2 linked regions of the Schizosaccharomyces pombe genome follow. The protein of the gene in region 1 interacts with the protein of each later gene in a biochemical or structural test. Each region holds a gene or a part of one and is shown in the gene's direction. Other genes may lie near its edges.

What was found.
Region 2: the proteins of cis4 (region 1) and zrg17 form a complex in vitro, tested with the Schizosaccharomyces pombe proteins (one study listed by BioGRID).

What each region holds. Positions count from the first base shown.
Region 1 is NC_003424.3:4,725,919-4,731,135, reverse strand, and holds cis4 (Golgi zinc importer, CDF family, Cis4), read left to right. Parts: upstream 1-1,794; 5' UTR 1,795-2,077; coding exon 2,078-4,276; 3' UTR 4,277-4,354; downstream 4,355-5,217. Other genes in the region: trm401 (tRNA (cytosine-5-)-methyltransferase), read right to left, coding at 1-1,048, 1,094-1,216, 1,256-1,302, 1,353-1,385; DNA replication pre-initiation complex subunit Cdc45, read right to left, coding at 4,376-4,672, 4,714-5,217. UniProt on the Schizosaccharomyces pombe protein: Probable zinc transporter involved in Golgi membrane trafficking through the regulation of zinc homeostasis.
Region 2 is NC_003423.3:1,944,025-1,948,487, reverse strand, and holds zrg17 (Golgi zinc importer, CDF family, Zrg17), read left to right. Parts: upstream 1-2,081; 5' UTR 2,082-2,165; coding exon 2,166-3,326; 3' UTR 3,327-3,551; downstream 3,552-4,463. Other genes in the region: SPOM_SPBC16E9.15 (uncharacterized protein), read right to left, coding at 1,113-1,210, 1,275-1,317, 1,367-1,390, 1,448-1,510; serine/threonine protein kinase Ksp1, read right to left, coding at 3,837-4,463. UniProt on the Schizosaccharomyces pombe protein: Probable transporter involved in the regulation of zinc homeostasis.

The sequences.
Region 1 (5,217 bases):
ATATTTTTCTAAAACTGCAACAAAAAAGCCTCCAGTATTTTGGAAATGTGGATAAATACGTAAGCAATTTTGAATATTCAGCTCAGCAAGTTCTTTCTTTGGTAGTGGCCATAAAGTAGGAGGCATTTTTTCGTAAAGCTCCTTTGGCAAGGTATCAAATGAAGGATAAATATTTAGATCGGAATCACAAACTACCCAGTTATCAACACCTTGACTACGTTTTAACTGAGGAAGCTCCGAACTAACATCCACCAACCTTACAGAACCTCGGGTAGCATTCAAGACAGCAGAAACCACTGCCTCATTTTCAATTGGATTTAATGAACATGTTGAATACACCAATCTTCCTCCTTTTTCCAACAGTTGTAAACCTCTCATTAAAATCTTAATTTGTGTCGCGTGAAGCCCTAAAGCTGTTTTCAAAGACCACTCATTCCATAAAGCAATGTTTTTTCTAAAGGTTCCATCTCCAGAGCATGGGACATCAGCAAGGATACGATCAAACTTAAGGAACTTTTTACCGTCGGGAGAAGATAGATGGAAATTCGGCAAAAAGGAAGCATCGTGATTAACAATTAACACATTTGGAGAATTTAATCGCTTAATCTGATGTACAAGCATATGCGCTCTTTTATTGTCACTATCATTTGCAATAACAATTCCTGAAGGCAACAAAGTAGTAATATCTTCTTTCTTAGTTGGTTTGTGAAGTGCCTCGAGTAATTGAGCTGTCTTAGAACCAGGCGCCGCACACATGTCCAAAACTTTGTGGTGACTCTCTACATTAAGAAGTAATGGTGGAACCATACTTACAGATTCTTGCCTGTTTATGTCACCCGCTTCTGTTTCAAGTACAAGAAATTCTTGAAGTGCCTTGAGATGAGGGCTTTTTCGAATAACTTCCTTAGAAATGTCCAGCATAAAAGCCATTCCATCAGGATACCATGGAAGTGAAACTGGCAAGGGGATTTTCGCATCCTCAGTTCTTGCATTCTCAATGAGTGGATAGTAGTGTTCTATAAAATAATCACGAACTTGAGTAGCATGACTTTTAAAATGATTAGAAACAAAAAATAATAATGTTTTTACTTACGGAATCGATGCAGTTATTCGAAATGTTGTCGGGAGTTGTTCAGTAAGCTTTTGCTTTAAAAGGATAAAGTCATCCTCCGTCACTAATTTCTGAAGCCTGTAGTACTTTTCAAAGTTTTCATTTCTATCTAGTAAGTAAACATAATCTGAAGTCATGACTCACTTTCTCTCAATTAAATCCCAGTTTACAAACTCCCCTTTTTTAGACCTCTATTTAATACACATTAGTAAGATAAAAAATAAATTAATTTCGTACTAACATTTTTTTTACTAGAATAATGCTTACGACCCATCTTAAACTCCTCCTTTTCCTTATCAACGTATCGAGTTGGTACAAGACAAGCAATTTTCAATGCTGGATAGTGCGTATTTTGTTAGCAGATTACAAAATTACTTTGACCTATTTTCAAGGAAAAAACTCTCAAAAATATTTTATTGAATTAACAAGAAGTTATATTGTCTGCTTTGCGACATTTTCTACAGATCTTGGATAACTCAAGAATTTACGAATATTGCACATTGTTATTGTGGATTTGCTTCGCACCTAAGTGAGATTATGAGGGGTTGTACATGAATTACTAAAAATGAAACTGTACGAGTGCTTACTTTTAAACATCAATCTTATATTATCTTAAAATCTCGAATGTATAAAGACTGTGTTTGTGTTGGTTGACTTAATTTAGCGTGTTAGGTCTTTTTGACAACTACAACCATTTCATGTTCGATTTAGAATATCTCAAATTTAGTTAAACAGAAGTTTGACTATAAGACGCTTTTAATAACTTTCAACGTTTGATTTTAAATAGTTAAGACCACTTATTAACTTTGTCAAATTAACTTAATGCACTTTCACATCCAACTCAGGATTTAAATTTCAAAACAGGATTACTCTTTATTTTGTTTTCTTTATTCTTTAGTTAAGTTTTGTTAATCATTCAATTTTTTAATAGTCAACCACAGCTTTTGGGTGTTCCTGACGACAAAAATGAATGTTAATTCTTCTGCGTTCGAGAGAACCAATAGGTTCCCTTCTTTTCCTGTTTTAAAAGACGACCAAAAGACAAGTTCTGATTCAATTGCTGCAGCTAAAAAAAAAGATTTGTTATCGCTCATTTCGAGTAAATCTTTGCTATCATCTGAAACACTAGGATGGTTTTCTGTAATTTGTGCATTCTCCATTACTGGTTCTGGTCTTGAAGTCAATACCATGTCGATTCCATTTTACCTTATTTTTGGCATCTTTGCTTTTGTCAGCTTTACTACTCAATATTTGGGCATCTATTCATTTTCGTTCCAACCTTTTCAGTTATTAAATGTAATAATCGCTTCTTTATCGATGGTATTCATAACTTTAGGTGCCTTTGTACTTGGAACTCTAGACACGACTTGTTTGTTATTGCTAGCTTTCAAATTATTTTTTATTCGTAACGATCCTACACCATTTAATGCCAGATCTGCTAATTTGAAGAACTATATAGCATTTCCAATATGTCTTTTTGTCATTAATCATATCCTAATACTGTTGGGTTATTTCCAATGTTCTTATTCCGTTTTTTATGCCAGCGTTTTTTATATACTTCTTGGTGTCTTCATTCGAGTCTTTTACCTTGTGAACAAAGAGAAGTTTGAAAAGAAGGAATTGGCATTCCTTTTTTCTTCTATCGTTGTGGCTTGTCTCATTCAATTTAATGTCCTTCCGCTTGGAACAATCAATCTATCAGTCACTCGTTTTACCATTCTTTGTTTTATGCAAATTTTTTGCATCAATTGGGATGGAATTGCCAGAATTCAATTTTACTTGGGAAAATTCGATATTTCTTTAATTATGGCCCTAATTTCTGCCATTATTAACAAGACAGCTTCTCAAAATTCTATCAAGATCATATCATGCCTCTATCAAGTAGGATTTTGCTTCTTTAAAATTGGTTCTTCTATAACAGCAAACTTGAAGCTTCCTGACAACAGCCGTATTTACCGACTTTACAATGATTTCATAGTGAATGGAGTGCTTGCCGATAAAGAGTCAAGAAGCATATTTTATTTCTTCCTTTTAAATGTTTCTTATATGTTTGTGCAAGTTATTTATGGTCTTTGGACAAATTCTTTGGGGCTTATTTCAGACGCAATTCACATGGCTTTTGACTGTATTGCTATTCTTGTCGGTTTAGTTGCTACGACGCTTGCCAAGATGCCTCTAAATTATGCTTACCCCTTTGGATTTGCAAAAATTGAGGCTCTTTCGGGTTTCACTAATGGTATTTTTTTAGTTTTGATTTCATTTTCTATCGTCGGCGAGGCATTATATAGGTTATTTCATCCGCCCCAAATGAATACCGACCAATTGTTGTTGGTTAGTTTTTTGGGCCTTGTTGTGAATTTGGTAGGTATCCTAGCGTTCAATCATGGGCATAATCATGATCATGGGTCTCATCACCATCATTCCCATAGTAATCATAGTATGTGTCTGCCTAACACTACAAATGATATAAATATTTTTGAAGAGTTTGAAGAAGAAAAAGATAATGTTGAAGCCCAGAAAATGGGCTATACGAATGACGATCACGTATCCCAACATGAACATACCCATGAGAATAGTCAGGAACATCACCATGAGCATAACCACAATCATGATCACATCCATAAATACAATGAAAAATGCGACCATGAAAGCATAAGTCTCCAGAATTTAGACAATGATCATCACTGTCATCATCACCATGAAAATCATAATATGCATGGCATATTTCTGCATATTATCGCAGATACTATGGGCTCTGTTGGAGTTATTGTCTCTACTATATTAATACAGTGGTTTTCATGGACCGGTTTTGATCCTTTGGCATCTCTAATAATTGCTGCATTAATATTTGTTTCTGTACTTCCATTAATTAAAGATTCGGCGAAGAATTTGCTCTCTGTGACTGATCCAGAATCGGAATATTTATTGAAGCAGTGTTTGTCGAACATCAGTTTAAGTAACTCCGTTATCAGTTTATCCAACCCTAAGTTCTGGACAAACGAAAGAGGTGAAGTGTATGGAATACTCCATATTCAGGTGAGCATAGACGGTGATTTAAACGTGGTTCGTAATGAAGTATTTAGGAAGCTCTCAATCGCTGTACCAAATTTAAAACACATTTGTATACAATCTGAACGGCCAAACAATTGCTGGTGTGGAAAATAGTTCTTACATCAGTTGATATCCATACTTATTTACGTGTAATTTTAATTAGATGAATTAATATTTTCTTTATTAGCAAAATTCCCATTATTTACCCAATCTTTATAATAGTGTTTTGAAGGACAGACTTTCTAAAAAAACCCCGAGGTCACTTTTTTGACACTCAATCACACTTGCTTCAAAACAGTCCATTTGCAAAGTAGCAGATGTCATGTTTGCAACCTCTTGAAATGCAACTCCAAAACGATTGTGTCCATGACCGTCGTCATCATCGTCATCTTCATTGCTAGTAAAAGCGGAAGTAGAAGTTCCAACTATTAAGTACCTATTTTTTTCCTCTACAAAAGCTGCTAAAACAAGAGGAAGATGTCTAAGCTTTCCAAATTCTCGTTCTTGCTCCTTCAAGTGTTAGTCAAACGTTAAAATCAATAGACACTTACATTAATAGCTTCAGCAATCCAAAGACTCATCTTTGTTAACGCAAGGGGATGCATAAATATTTTCAGATCTGGTCCTTCGTTGATAAGTCCAAAACGAAAAGATCTCAACGTTTTAATGGCTCTTTTTTCAAGTAAGGTGATTCCAGTACGAACAATGGCTCTTTGTAAGTGCATTGCTAACTTCAATGCTCTTTCTAATGAATCGACATCGTCCAAGGCGTCGTATGCATCATAAAAATTGTGCAACCATTCTTGATTTTGAGCATTTTCAAACTTCTCCAAATATTCTTCCTCCGTCATATCCGGGCTTCGAGCGACAGTTTTGCTTTGAAGCAAAACACCTGTATTACCCATTTCTAATAATGCACTGATAGCATAAGAAACGTCACTTGCACTAAGTGTACATTTGAATCCATAAGTCCGAGTAAAACTATGGAATATCACATCGTCTAAACCATAAAACGGTGCAAATCTTTTAAGACTACTTTTCAAAGTTTTTTTTAA
Region 2 (4,463 bases), on another chromosome or scaffold:
CTGAACAAAGCAAGGTGGAGAGCGAGTACAACAGTGTTAAGGGTAGCAAATTGTATACCACCGAACCCGTTCATCCACACGCCGTTACCACTAATGAACCTACTGATGTTAGTACTAAGAGCAAGTCCGCCGCCTATCACTATCCTGCCACCACTGAGACTGTTTCAAGCAAAGCAGCCCGCTCTGCCACCACTCCTGCTTATGTTGGCGGTGCCACTAAAACTCCTAGTACGACAAAGGCTGTTGAATCTACTCCCAGCACCTTGCCTACTTCAGCTTCCACAAATGCTGCTGCTACTACTACCACTAAAAAGCCCAAGGCTGCCAAATCTACTGCTGTACGTGATGATGTTTCTTCTGCTTCTTCGGATAGCGACAAGGGTACCACCGGTTTGGGCAAATCTGAAAGCAAAAGTTCCCGCAAGGAACGTAGAAGCAGCACCAGCAGCGGTCATGGCTTGATGAACAATGTTCGTCATGCCTTGGGTATGTCCAACAAGTAAAGGGAATACTTGCAATATCAAAATTTTTGGACGTAACCTTCATTATCTCGTGAATCCGTTATGAAAAAAGGTTTTTATTGTATGGTTCTTATTTGAAAAAAAGGGACGACAACTTTTTGAGGGGAAAGTTGTCATCCTTTAAAGGTTGGTTCTTTATGATGGAAAGTACTGCGAATTGTTCGTAATTTATTAATGAGATTCTTTGTTTATACGAGTAAAGAAATTGAATGCGATGGATATAGAAAATGTAATGTAGCTTTAGTTTTAAGTAGTTTGATTGTCTGTGGTGGGTTGTATATGCTTGCTTTGGCCTTGCTAGATAATCAAAACAAGAAACAATATAAAATGTACAATAGAACTAACAGGTAAAAATAAATGTACAAAAAATAAATGATTTGAATTTTCTCGTACGAACATGTAAACAATTGAAAAAGACAAACAATCGAGACTTAGAAATACAATTGAAAATAAATAGACAGAGCAAGACAAACAGAGGTTATTCTTAATAAAATAGAGCAAATCTAGCACAATCCCCAATCCACCACGTCAAACAAGCTGTATGCTCACTTCAAATAGAAAGCTTTGAAAATCTTATGCGGTGAATCTTGTTCACTCGGTCGATGTGACCGGTGAGACAGAAGACTTTTTGTTCATGGCCTCACGCATGGATTCTTCAAGTTGATCTAAACGAGTTGACATCGTTTCCACTGTTAACATAAAAAGTTATGATTAGTAAAGCAAAATCTTTCATTATAAATTAGAGAATCGTACATTTCTCAGAGAATTGCTTTTGTAGGGTCTCAAAGTCGCCAGACTATAAAAATCTGTTAGAATGATTAACTAAGCACAATTCTTCTTCTTACAATATCCTCCAATAACTTATCAGTCTAAAAGTAAACAAGGTTAGATCATTAAAAAAAAAGAAAGACTAATCTTAAACGCACCAAAGTCGTGATCGCAGATGTGGATTGAGGATTTTTAGAATTCCCTCTAACAGACGCAGACATTGTAACCGAAAACCTTTTTTTTAATATGTATAGATGCTTCCTTCAGGTAATAAGAACTCACTTGTGAATACAATAGTTGGTATTTGGAAGAGAAATGGAAGAAGTAGGTAAAATAGTTGATGGAACTCAGCTAGGAACCTCTGCGTAATGTTATTTACCTACACATAATTATTTTTATTATTTTACCAAGTGTATTTATTGTCTTATCGAGTACATGTGGAAAAGTCGTAGAAGGAGAATTCAGGCCCTTGGAGTGGCCTTTTTTTTATAACTTAATGATGATTTTATTTTTAATTAAACGAATTAAAAAAATTACTCATAATATCCTTGTATGGATGACTTTGAGCCGCATGTTTGAACCCTATATATATGGCGTTCCACGATGGCTCTGAAAGGTAAGTTTGTTCATCTTTAACCGTTTTCTACTAAGCGTTTTTTATTCCTAGTCACTAAAAAGTAGATGTCTCAAAGATGGTACAACACTATGGCTTTTTATAATCATTTACTGATACAGTCAATATCTTTATCTTAGACTGTTGCAATTTGGGCCTAGTACCAACTGGTCTTACCCATCCACTCCACCAAACGCATGGGTGAGTGAGTTTTTAAAAAAGCCATTATAGAATTGTTGAAAGTATATCTAAATGAATGAAAAATGACTCAAAATCATAACATCCCGACTGCTATTCAGATTCAAAACCCTATAAATAATAATGTCTCTGTAACTATTAGTGATCAGTTACCAAAACCGAGTGCGAATAATCCCAACTTGTTAAGCGTGGATACTCGCCCTACCCACAGAAAAGGCCATCATCACAAACATTCGCTTTCGCATCAATATTTCTTACCACCCAAGAATCGACAGCCGTTAGAGATACCTGCCAGTTATCCCATTCCTACTTTTAAAGAAACATTCGCAATCCTTACTTTTCCTCAAAAACTAAAATTGACAAGCTCAATCCTATTCTTTTTGGTCGCCGTAGGGGTATTACTCTCGGGGGATGCTACTATCCTACTCACTTTATCTTGCTCTTTAATCGTAGAAGGTGTTTTAATCATTATCAACGTTTGGCGTGAAACATTGGATTCGTTCCTCGTCTGGCGACACACGTGTTTACGTTACCCATTTGGAATGCAACAAATGGAATTACTTGTTGATTTTTCCTTCTCAATCCTCTTAATCTTCCTCGGCATGAACCTCCTAAAAGAGCCTGCCGAACATGCTATAGAAGATTGGGGTAATCTCCATCATGCTGGCGATCATGAAGAAGAGACTGTACACATTCATTTAACCATTTCATTGTTTGCTTCGGCTATAATATCGGGATTTGCATTATTGTTGGATCACCCTAGTGCTCACATACGAGAACTCAATTCTCGCTTTTTCCATGGACTCACATTAGTACCTTCACTCATCCTCGTGTTGCTGTTAAGTCTTGGTTATCAAGTTGGTTCATTTCTCAGCCATTTGCTTTCCTTAACTATTGCTGTTACTGCCCTGGTGAATGGGTTCTCCATTGCCAAATCGCTTGCCTTAATGCTCTTGTTGACATACTCTAATAAAGAAAAGGTCTTTGAATGCGTCTCCCTTATAAAAGAGGATACACGAATTGACCAACTTAATTATGCTGCCATTTGGCAACCTCATTATAATACTTGTATTGCTAATATTGGCTTAACCGTTTCAGGAGGTGAACGAGAGCAGGCAGCAGTTCGTGAAGATATTATAAGGATTATACAAAAAACAGTAGGAAGCATATTTGGTGCTGGTGTTCAACCCAAATGGGAAATATCAGTAGATATCCAGAGAGCCTAATCGTTTTTTCCTATCTTACAACCAACCGTGTTTGTAACTCACTCGTTATATTTTTATTATCATTTAATGCATGCATATTTTATCAACATATGACATTATCCACCTTTGCGGAACTTTCGCTGTCTCGAACAGTTTGGATTCATAATCTAATAAATGCCATCCATATTTACTATAGAATTACCAACACCTTTTTCATTCTTTCCTTTAATTTATACCGCTTATTACAAATTATAAGGAGAATACAAACTCAAGATTTTAATATGAAATGAATAATTTTATTATTATAAATAAGGCATGTGTGGTCGTTGCATACTAAAAGGATCAAGTCTAACTAATAATAGAATGCGTATATAGAAGGTATTTTCATATGTAAAAAAAAAAAAGAAAAACGTAAGCATATATATGACCCTCAATTAACATACAGATTCCAAAGGACAAGTAATGCAATTTACTACTTTAAACGTAGCTCTTACCAAGCTTGGAAAGAAAGCGCAAAAAACAAGTTATCGTTTATGAGTTATCATTCCACTGGGATAGAACATTCCAGTCGTCAGCAAGTCCAATGTGCTTAGACGAAAGTTCGTCAGAAGCACCAAAGTCATCGTTAGAGCCGAAGCTAACAATGTCTTCCTCATCTTCTTCATCCATATCACACCAACTGCGGCCAAATTTAAGATGATCCTTGTTTCCTTTAATACTGTTAGGAAATACGATAGCTGGTGCACTGCAAGAATAGGGAGAACGTTTCGTATTAACGGGTACTGCTGTTGCAATGGATTTTCCAATATGCATATTATTGAGACTTTCACCAAGTCCAGAATCATAGGAACGTTCGCTATTGTTGACTGGAGCCAAAGATGCAGGGCTCCGAGGAGACGACGAGGTTGAAATGTTCTCATCAACGTCAGACAAAGCTGGCAACTTTGAAGGAAGAAGACCACGCTGTATGGTGTTAGCGGGTGTCAAAACAGATGGAGTACGTAACGGTTCGCGATCTGATTGAGTACAACGAACGTTGTCCTCAGCAGGCATGAAATCGGATGCGCGAAATTCTTCTTCTTCATTAACGAAGCTTTCCAATTCCTCATCATCTGTCGTCCACTTGGTAACCGCGAGTACGGCTTCCCTCGTTTTGGC